Linked DNA regions of Schizosaccharomyces pombe. The protein of the gene in region 1 purifies or fractionates together with the protein of each later gene. This does not show direct contact. Each region holds a gene or a part of one and is shown in the gene's direction. Other genes may lie near its edges.

Evidence for each region.
Region 2: the proteins of apc2 (region 1) and nuc2 purify together in Schizosaccharomyces pombe (affinity purification with western blotting, with the first as the bait; one study listed by BioGRID). This does not show direct contact.

What each region holds. Positions count from the first base shown.
Region 1 is NC_003423.3:1,998,599-2,004,098, forward strand, and holds apc2 (anaphase-promoting complex cullin family subunit Apc2), read left to right. Parts: upstream 1-2,310; 5' UTR 2,311-2,536; coding exon 2,537-3,772; intron 3,773-3,816; coding exon 3,817-4,436; intron 4,437-4,481; coding exon 4,482-4,671; 3' UTR 4,672-5,000; downstream 5,001-5,500. Other genes in the region: mediator complex subunit Med14, read right to left, coding at 1-330; V-ATPase assembly factor Pkr1, read left to right, coding at 1,300-1,487, 1,568-1,778; sdh7 (ACN9 family protein), read right to left, coding at 1,714-1,761, 1,877-2,176; SWI/SNF and RSC complex subunit Ssr4, read left to right, coding at 5,118-5,276, 5,324-5,467. UniProt on the Schizosaccharomyces pombe protein: Component of the anaphase-promoting complex/cyclosome (APC/C), a cell cycle-regulated E3 ubiquitin-protein ligase complex that controls progression through mitosis and the G1 phase of the cell cycle.
Region 2 is NC_003424.3:4,496,243-4,501,391, forward strand, and holds nuc2 (anaphase-promoting complex TPR lobe subcomplex subunit Apc3), read left to right. Parts: upstream 1-1,853; 5' UTR 1,854-1,889; coding exon 1,890-2,193; intron 2,194-2,238; coding exon 2,239-2,409; intron 2,410-2,515; coding exon 2,516-4,038; 3' UTR 4,039-4,339; downstream 4,340-5,149. Other genes in the region: tif471 (translation initiation factor eIF4G), read right to left, coding at 1-62; alpha-aminoadipate reductase phosphopantetheinyl transferase Lys7, read left to right, coding at 728-790, 834-1,547; 1-acylglycerol-3-phosphate O-acyltransferase Slc1, read left to right, coding at 4,392-4,717, 4,781-5,149. UniProt on the Schizosaccharomyces pombe protein: Component of the anaphase-promoting complex/cyclosome (APC/C), a cell cycle-regulated E3 ubiquitin-protein ligase complex that controls progression through mitosis and the G1 phase of the cell cycle.

The sequences.
Region 1 (5,500 bases):
AAATGACAACTGGTAACGAATATCTTGTAACACATGAACTAAATTCTGGAAGCAAAATTTTTGACCTTGAAGAAAGGCTACAACATCTATGCATCGATGAACTGAAGGAGATAGATGTACCCAACGCGCTAAAACTAGCAAACGCATAGTGAAAGCGCGCGAACGTAATAACCAATCTAAGATCTTTTTCTTTTTCTCGACATTTGACATAGAGGGTAGAACTTCGGCTAAAGACACCAATTCTTGTAACACATGATGACTAAAAGTTTCTACTATCTCAGGAAGAGGATAAAATCCTTCTGTAATGTGTGGAATCGCAGGCGGTTCCATCCTCAATTGGAGGAGTTAGGAATTTCGTGTAATAGCGCCTTTAATTAGCCGATCCTTTACCAAAACTAAATTTCGTAATAAACATAAGTTTTGTTCTTTTAAAAACCCTTAAAAAGGATTCTTTATATCTCTTTTACAGAAATCTTCGAGTAGCGTGCCAAAAGCAACTTCACACAGCTCCCGTGAAACTCTTCGATAACCTTCGTTACGCCATTCACTGAGATTGTTAAAACGCCTTAGGTTTATTCATTCAAAAAATTGGAATAATCAATAAATAAGCAATTTTAAATGGAATTAAATAATAATTGATCAATGATATTACTAAAATGGGAGATTTTGAATAAATTTGAGCTAGTATAAACATGCCCTGTTATGCGATAATCGCATAAAACATAGTTTGAAACTATGGATAATGAAGAATAACAAATGAGATGGAACCGTTCAAAAAGATTCTCGTAATTCTATAGTAGTTAAAAAGCCCCTTCTTTAAACTGAACGAAAATCATCATTAAAGCTGTTCAAACTTTGCTATCAATTTTAATCAGAGCTTCAGCGTGTCTCATTAAAATGATAATAAAACAGTAATTTAGAAGAGCTAAGCCGAAAAATAACATTTGTTTTGATCATTTAATTATTTTCTCCACGACCACAAGAAGCTGACAAAAAATTTTTAATATAGCAAAACAAAAGTAGAGCACTATTCCATTTGAATGATTCAAAGCTCTATTAACAATAAATTTGGACAAATGGAAGCATAACCTTCGGTTTTAATAGTAGTATAAGATATGGATTTCTTGAAATCCATTTTAACTTTTAATGAACTCCAACATCGGTCTCGTTGCTAAATTAATTCAATAGCACACGCACACTATAAAGGCCAGATTTTATCGCTAGAACACAAACGGTGGTTTAACAACGTCAATTCATAGCTACTACATTTCCAAGTAGTATTCCAATAAGAAAAAGATCATGTCGTATTGGGTGGAACTATGGGAATCAATTTTCACACCAGGTGTCACACCTGTATTGGCTAAGTCAGCACACGTAGCCTGTGGTGCACTTGTCGCTGTTTTTCTTGGACTTTATATAGGTACAAAAAGTATTCATTGTCTCATCTTATTTTTCCTGGCAATCTGTTTGTGGCTGTCGCTAACATGGTACGTTTATCCATGAGGAAGTTGAACATCTCGTTCACTTTTTTACGAGTAGTCCAGATCATTCATTAACAACTTTATAGGTTTTTGGTTGAGCTTGCACATGCTCGAGTTAATAACGATTTGCAGATGTCGTCTCAAAGTGCCAATAAAAATGACGACAACTCAAACAATCAAAATCCTTCTAATAACAAAGAGATGTCTGATAAAGAATCAGATTCCGCGACCACTACTCAGACTTTTTCTGTTCCTGAAGAGCTTTTGAGAGCTCGTACAACTGCCAATAATAGTTAGAAACTATAGGTCCAAAAAAAGAAGCAATAAGTTCAAGAGCACTGGTAAAAGTTCTCTTCTTTTAATAATAAACCTCAATCTAATATAAGTTTTCTTACCTGTCCGATTTGCTGGTCATTTAAAGATTCTAGTAGATCCGTATTACTGTATTTTTCCTGTTTCCAGCTCTCGTTTTCTAGTGCATCCGCATACCTCTCCCACGAGCTTAAAAATCCTACTAAATGCAAAGGATTTGTTACGTTCCGATGTCTTCGAAATTCCGCCTTTACATATTCATCTCCTAAAGCTCGTTCTTCTGCTCCTAGGTGATAGCGATGCGCTCTCAACACCCTTCGGTACAGAGGCAAAGGAGGTGTCAAAATATTCTTTTGTTTCATTAATTTCGTTATGTTATTCATTGGTATATGATTTTCTTTAGATACCGTCTTTTCAAAAATTGAATTCCTTTTAAGTTTCTTGTTGTGGTTGTGATGTGGAAGGCAGTTTGCTATTCATCGCATTCACACTAACAATTGCAAGGTCTTCTTCTACCAAATGTAAACAATACCACCAGAAGATATACTAGTAGGAAAAGTGAGTGTTCCTTCAATCATTTGTCTTGAAATCTTCAATTTTTAATTCCTTTTTCTTTTGAAAACATTACTTTGTGTTATCGGACTACGTAGAAAGGACTTGTCGATTTGGTATCGATTATTTGTAGTTGCTTGAATTCATTTATTTTAAGATTAAAGTATTTATCAGAAAAAATTAAAAGCATAATGAATGATACTGATCTGTCCACCTTTACTGGCCGTTCGTTGTTGATCGATCAATTGAGCTCAGTCACACAGGGAACACCAGTATTGGATTTTATTGACAAGTTGAGAATTCATTTCTATACCACTATTCGCCAAAATCTCTTAAAGATTGATTTAAAAAACATATGCAGTCTACACGACTTAACGGACCAACTAAGTGACTTTTGGCTTGTTTACGAACAGAGTGTCTTAGAAAGTCCTATTTTAAGTCCTGAACTCGACCGAATCCTTACATGCTTCCGTTGCCTTTGTAGAAGGTACTTGCCCATTTCGGTGATTGAAAGCGTTCTAACAGAATATCTGGATCAAGTTTTAAAAGTATGGTTAGAGAGTAAAACGAATCCTTGTTTGGATATGGAGAAATTTTTTCAATTGTGTGAAAAATTTAAGCAGCTGGGGCTGTCTTCTGTGTTAAAAGAAAGGTTTGTATATGTATTGCAGTTGCATGTCGGCTCTCTTTTAACAACACGGTATGCGATGTCTTGGGAGCAGAGTGTTTACCATGAAGCATTGGAGTGGATTCGCACCGAATTTGGGGTTCTTGTTGAACATGTATTTTCATTGTCGAATCCAGCGGTTTTGGTTCAGTTAGACCATCTTGTTTCTCAAATACTTGCTCATTTGCGATCAGACAACATTCTTGATATTGTTCTTCATTACCCCAATTCACTAGGCGCAATTGAAGACTTGCGTTTAGTTGCCCGTCAAAAACAGCAACGTCAATATTTAACCGAAACTTTTGTGAAAGATTGTACAAGTAGTATTTTGACCGCTAGCAGTGATAGCTCCTATATTCTTTTGTTCTATGTCTCTACCATTCGTTGTTTTGTTGCATTAGACCCCCCTGGTGTTCTTTTAGACAAAGCTGCCAAACCCATTCGTTCTTTTCTAAATGAACGAGAAGATGCATATAAATGCTTGGTTTCCTTATTGTTTGTTGACGGTGAAAAAGGCCTACGCTCTGAGCTTTCTCAAATTCCCACTGAAAACATCGACTCAACAACGGATCGATTTGATAATTACCACTGGATGCCGGATCCGATTGATGCGGCTCCTGACTTTAAAAAACCAACCGATAGAGACGTTGTTGGAAGTCTCATTTCCATTTTTAAAAGCAAGGAGCCCTTAGTGAAGGAATTACAATTGTTACTAGCTGATCGACTTTTACAACTTACAGATTATCATTATGAAGTTGAGGTTTGTTTTATTCTATTTAAGTTGAATTTTCTAACGTTTTTTAGGCAAAAAATATAGAGTTTTTAAAGTATCGATTTGGAGAGACTGTTCTGCAAATGTGTAGTGTTATGCTGAACGATATTGAGAATTCAAGATTTATTGATCAGAGCATCCACATGGAGAACTATGTTTCGAAAGGTTTGCACGTAACTATTTTATCAAGATTATTTTGGCCTACTTTGTCTGTTCGATATTTTCATTTACCTGGCCCTCTGAAAAAAGAACTCGATGCATATGCTGAAGAATACAGAGAAAGAAAGAGAAAAAGGGAGCTTGTTTTTTTACCCAACTTAGGATCGGTAGAGTTGGAAATTGAGCTTGAGGATAGAACACTCACGTTGACAGTTACACCGGAGCAAGCTGCCTTTATATCACTTTTTGAAGAGACTTCTACATTACATATTGAGAAAGCTGCTGAACTTTTAGATCAGCCGAAAGAAATAGTTGAGCGACATTTGAAATTTTGGCTTCATCATCGAGTGCTTACCGACATCGGCGACGACCGATATCGTGTTCGTGAAACTGAAGCCGAAACCGCGACAGAAACTGTACTTGATGAAATCCAAGGGGTATCAGCTGTTCAAAGTGAAGCCGAAAGCAGTGCCGCTGAGATGCGTGTTTACTGGTATGTTTCTTTATTAAAACTAAAATTTGTAATTAATAAAAAAAGGTCTTTTGTTGTAGGAATGTTGACGAACCTTGGAGCTCTTGAGCTTGAACGAATTCACAACATGCTCACGATGTTTATCCCACCGCCAAACGGCTATACTCGTACCCAGAGCGAGCTAAGAGAATTTCTAGCATTAATGATCAAAGAGGAAAAGTTGGAGTTTACTGGAGGAGCTTATAAGCTCAAATAATTAATGGCTATAGAATCCTTTGTCTGTTAAGAAAAGCCTTGGGATTTTTATGAACTTTTTTATGGACATCTCATTTAATTTTACGAAAACCATCACTTATACATTGCATGTCTATTGGCATATTGTCTACTAATGATTAGCAGCTAACTGTTACTATTTAAGTATGTCTTTACATTCATGCTCTTGTTTAGCTATTTACGATTCTACGATGGTTAAACGGATCTGATCAAGATAGTTGTAATGAACACAGAGACACTAGAGTATGTTTATACATTACCTAGAGTTTCGTATAGATACTGTAAATATTAGAAATTTCATTTAAACAGTGAAAACTGATGTAACATCGTTATATGAAATAGTGCAACAGAACAAAGCCAAAACTTCTGCATCTTGATAGATATGAGTAAGTTGTACCATCCAAAACTTACATATAATTAAAATCAACAATGGCGGCTACAATGGCAGCTCAGAGTCTATTATCGATTCCAGTGGAATACCGATCTCAGGTATGGTGTCGAGCGAATTTACCATATCCACCAGCACCACAATTACCAATCCCTGCTGTCGTAGATATATTAACAAAAGCGTCCCAGGCTTTACCACAGGTAGTTTTTAGAAGACTTCAATATATGTTTTTTCTAACAAATTTTAGATTTCATTTTCTTGGACTCTCATAGATCAACCACCAGATGGTTCCTTGTTTTTAGTTTGGCAAGCACCTACATTACCATCTCCACCAGATGGAATGCATTTTATGAGCAATGAAAGGTTTTTTAATATGGACGTTGCAGGAAAGGTAAGTTGCTCACAAGCACTGCGGTATAAGGGA
Region 2 (5,149 bases), on another chromosome or scaffold:
CTGCTGGCCAAGGCACGAGCATAACTAAACTTTGGAGTATTTGACGGTGGTTTTGAAGACATTATACTCTTCGTTTATCTACAATTATTCAAAGTAATAAAACTGAAGAGACCACCGAATATTAAAACCTTAAATTAGTTCGTTTGTTTTATATACAACAACCGAGTTCTTTTCTTCCTATTTCTACTGAAAGAAAGAACACCAATTATAGATTATTATTGGAACGGAACAAGACAAACAAATGTAACGTTCTGTATTCCGTTAAATATTAAAATACCCTCCAGATGAGTTGATAATAAATTTTCAACTGAAGTGGTTGGGTTAGTGGTGGTGGTCAAGAGAAGCAATAGAACGAAGCAGCAAACTCTTCAAATTGTGCCGCTTACGTTCTATCAGTAAATTTAACGAAATTAAATCTTCTGCGATAAACACGTTTTATGACTGTTAATAGATATTCGCAAATTAAAGAAAAGCTGTTCTCCAAGGTAGAACAAAAAATATATTTTTTCGGAAAGTACTGTCGACTTGCGTTAATGTCACGCTTCATAATTCATGTTACTATTTATTGGTAGAAATTATCTTGATTGCCTTCTAACGAAATTATACTCTTCTTCTGGTTGGTTTCGAGTTTATGAGTGATTCTTGTTTTTGTGTTTCCTGGAAATTCTGGCATTGTTTATTGTAGTTTCTCATTGAAGAGTATTTCATTCGATTTAAATAGCAATATATGAAACAAAAAGTATATAGGTTATTAATAGATACTCAAGAAGCATGGCCTTTTGAAAGAACTGTATGTTTTTAGTTTTATCTAAACAATTTTTCTAATACGTTAGAGGATACCCAGTTTTAAAAAACTGAGCGATTCTGAGCGACAACAAATTGAGAGGTACTATTTCGACATGGATGCTAAAATGGCATTGGCTTCTATACTTATTAAAAGGCACTTAGTCTCCACGGCTCTCGAATGTTCACCAAATGAAGTACAAATTTCTGTCACAAAAGCCGGGAGACCGTATTGCCAATCAGCACACTGTCCTCCTATTATATTTGACTTTAATGTATCCCACTATGGGGGAATCGTAATTGTAGTAGGAGCATGGCTTCCATCAGATCCTTCAGGAATGCGACCGATCAATATTGGAGTTGACATCGTCGAATGTAAACCGTTAGCTTTTGAAGCATCATGGATGGAAGATTTCATGAGTGTATTTACTCCTTGCGAATGGAAGTTGATTAAAAGTTCAATTTCTAGTATTGATGTTTTTTTTTTGCTCTGGACTTGCAAAGAAGCGATTTTGAAAGCACTCGGTATCGGATTAAGTGGAAACCCTTTGGATATTGTGGTAACATTTCATAAATTAAATGAGCTGTTAAATTCCGAGGAAGTGTCTTTAAGAAGAGCAGCAACTGCAGTGTATTCAGGATATTCTTGGGACTTGGAAATTCATAAACTAATACTTCACTCTAGTACTTTTTACGTCAGTGTCGCCTTTCCACAAGACTGCGTAATAATGGATCTAAATTGGGAGACATTGAACGACTTGTAATTTTTTTTTATTAACATGTATCATCGCATTGTTTTAGACCGTGATGCCTCCTTTGCCTGTCTCCCTTAATGCTTGGATCGAGTTGCATTAGTAGTGTTTTTTTATTCTCTGATAATTTACCCAAACTCTTTTTGGATTTATCAGAGTTTACACAACTCTATACACCATCCAGATGATTTACCTATTTTTGTTTATATGTTTTTTTTACTAAAATGCTACATTGCTTTATAAGATTTAACATATCTTAACGATGGAGCTCAAACAATAACAACCACCTGTTTGTACCCACATGTTTTTGTTGACATTAACTCCCATCGTTTCCAAAACTTTAATAGATTTGTCATGACAGATCGATTGAAATGTTTAATATGGTATTGCATTGATAATCAGAATTATGATAATTCAATTTTTTATTCAGAACGTTTACATGCAATTGAAGATTCAAACGAGAGTTTGTATCTTTTGGCATATTCGCATTTCCTAAACCTCGATTACAATATTGTATACGACTTATTAGATAGAGTAATTAGTCATGTTCCTTGCACATACTTATTTGCAAGGACCAGCCTTATTTTAGGCAGATATAAACAAGGAATAAGTGCTGTGGAGGCCTGTCGATCGAATTGGCGCTCCATTCAGCCAAACAGTATGTGGTGATTTATTTCGCGAAACCTCTAACTAAGTTATCTAGTAAATGACTCAATTAGCAGTCGTGGACATCCAGATGCCTCTTGCATGCTTGATGTTTTGGGTACTATGTATAAAAAGGCAGGGTTCCTCAAAAAAGCTACAGATTGTTTTGTAGAAGCTGTCTCCATTAACCCATATAATTTCTCTGCTTTCCAGAATTTAACTGCAATAGGTATGTGACAGATGTTTTGTTGTGAATTAGTAAATTCACTTTTGTCAAAAAAAAATACTTATTTTCGTTTATTTCTATAATTGTGCTAATATATTTTGCTGAATAGGCGTGCCACTCGATGCTAATAATGTATTTGTTATTCCACCCTACCTTACGGCAATGAAGGGTTTTGAAAAATCTCAAACGAATGCTACAGCTTCGGTACCAGAACCGTCTTTTTTGAAGAAAAGTAAAGAGTCTTCCTCATCTTCCAACAAGTTTTCGGTTTCTGAATCGATAGCAAATAGTTATTCAAACTCATCCATTTCAGCATTTACTAAGTGGTTTGATAGGGTTGACGCTTCTGAGCTTCCAGGAAGTGAGAAGGAACGACATCAAAGCTTGAAATTACAATCTCAATCTCAGACTAGCAAAAACCTTTTGGCTTTCAATGATGCTCAAAAAGCTGATTCTAACAATAGGGATACGTCTTTAAAATCCCACTTTGTGGAACCTAGAACCCAAGCATTAAGACCAGGAGCTCGTTTAACATATAAATTACGCGAAGCGAGAAGTTCTAAAAGAGGAGAGAGCACACCTCAAAGCTTCCGCGAAGAGGACAATAATTTGATGGAATTACTAAAGTTATTCGGTAAGGGTGTTTACCTGCTCGCCCAGTATAAGTTACGAGAGGCTTTAAATTGTTTCCAAAGCTTGCCCATCGAACAGCAAAATACACCTTTTGTTCTTGCAAAGCTTGGAATAACCTACTTTGAACTGGTTGATTACGAAAAATCTGAAGAAGTGTTTCAAAAATTAAGGGACTTGTCGCCTTCACGTGTCAAAGATATGGAAGTCTTTTCAACTGCACTTTGGCATTTGCAAAAGTCTGTTCCTTTATCTTACCTTGCCCATGAAACTTTGGAAACTAATCCTTATTCCCCAGAATCATGGTGCATTCTTGCTAATTGCTTCTCACTTCAACGTGAACACTCGCAGGCATTAAAATGTATTAATAGAGCTATTCAATTGGATCCAACTTTTGAATATGCTTATACGCTTCAAGGGCACGAGCATTCTGCAAACGAAGAATACGAAAAATCGAAAACATCTTTCCGCAAAGCAATTAGAGTAAATGTTCGACATTACAATGCATGGTATGGCCTGGGAATGGTTTATTTAAAAACAGGGCGAAATGATCAAGCAGACTTTCATTTTCAACGTGCTGCAGAGATCAATCCTAACAACTCTGTACTCATCACTTGTATTGGTATGATTTACGAACGCTGCAAAGATTACAAAAAAGCACTTGATTTTTATGATCGGGCATGTAAACTGGATGAAAAGTCTTCGCTTGCCAGGTTCAAGAAAGCCAAAGTGCTTATTTTATTACATGATCACGATAAAGCACTCGTTGAATTGGAACAATTAAAGGCAATTGCGCCAGATGAAGCAAATGTTCATTTTTTGCTCGGCAAAATTTTCAAGCAAATGCGGAAAAAAAATTTAGCCTTAAAGCACTTCACTATAGCATGGAACTTAGACGGCAAGGCTACGCATATTATTAAGGAATCGATTGAAAATCTGGATATTCCCGAAGAAAATTTGTTAACTGAAACAGGTGAAATTTATAGGAATCTGGAAACTTAAGAAATTATGTCTTGTATTTTAGGGATGCCAAAAAATTGTCGAATGAATAAGTTAATGAGTTAGAATGTTTACGTCTTCATTCTGGTTAGGTTTAAAAATGATGATTTTCGTTTAGAAGTTATATATTAAAATAAAGGTATAATAGATATCATTAATAACCAATGATAAAAAAAATTGTGTATAAAATCACCGTGGGTATAACTTAAGTTTAAAGTGTGCAATTAATGAAATGTCCTCAGGCCATTCATTTTTATTACGAATCACCAACGTTACTATCACCGCACCAACCATACTTTAAAACGAAAGGAAGGGTTGTTGAAAGTTTGCTCTTCTCTACTGTGTACATATTCGAAATGGGTTTTATTAAGAGCACGCTGCTTGCTACTGTGACAGTATTTGTTGGTTTGTGCGGAATCAACCGATTTTTTACTCTCCCGAAATGTATTAGATATCACTTTCGCTATTTCGCATGTCACACATTTTTAGCTATTAGTTCTGCTTATGGGGTTATAGCCTCAGTTGTTGCACGTTTATGTGGTTATCCCGTAATGGGACAATATTTAACTGCAAAGGCATATTATGGACTGGCTAGTACAATCCTTGACTTTCGGTTTAAAATCGAAAACGAGGAAATTTTGAGAAAACATAAGTCTGCTGTCTTAGTAGTTAATCATCAATCGTAAGCATACCTCAAAATATACTTCTTTATGATAAAAAATAACTGACTTACAATTTTAATTAGTGAATTGGATATTTTGGCTATAGGAAGGACTTTTGGCCCTAATTATTCTGTTATTGCTAAAAAGTCTCTAAGATATGTGCCCATTTTGGGATGGTTTATGATATTGTCTGACGTTGTATTTATCGATAGGTCTCGCCGAAGTGATGCGATTCAACTTTTTGCGAAAGCGGCACGAAGAATGCGCAAAGAAAATATTTCTATTTGGGTATTTGCAGAAGGCACTCGTTCCTATAGCCTTAAGCCCTGTCTTCTTCCCTTGAAAAAGGGCGCATTTCACCTTGCTGTACAGGCTCAAGTACCCATTATTCCTATTGCAATTCAGACTTATGGTCATTTGTTTCATCCTCCTACCAAAGTATTCAATAAAGG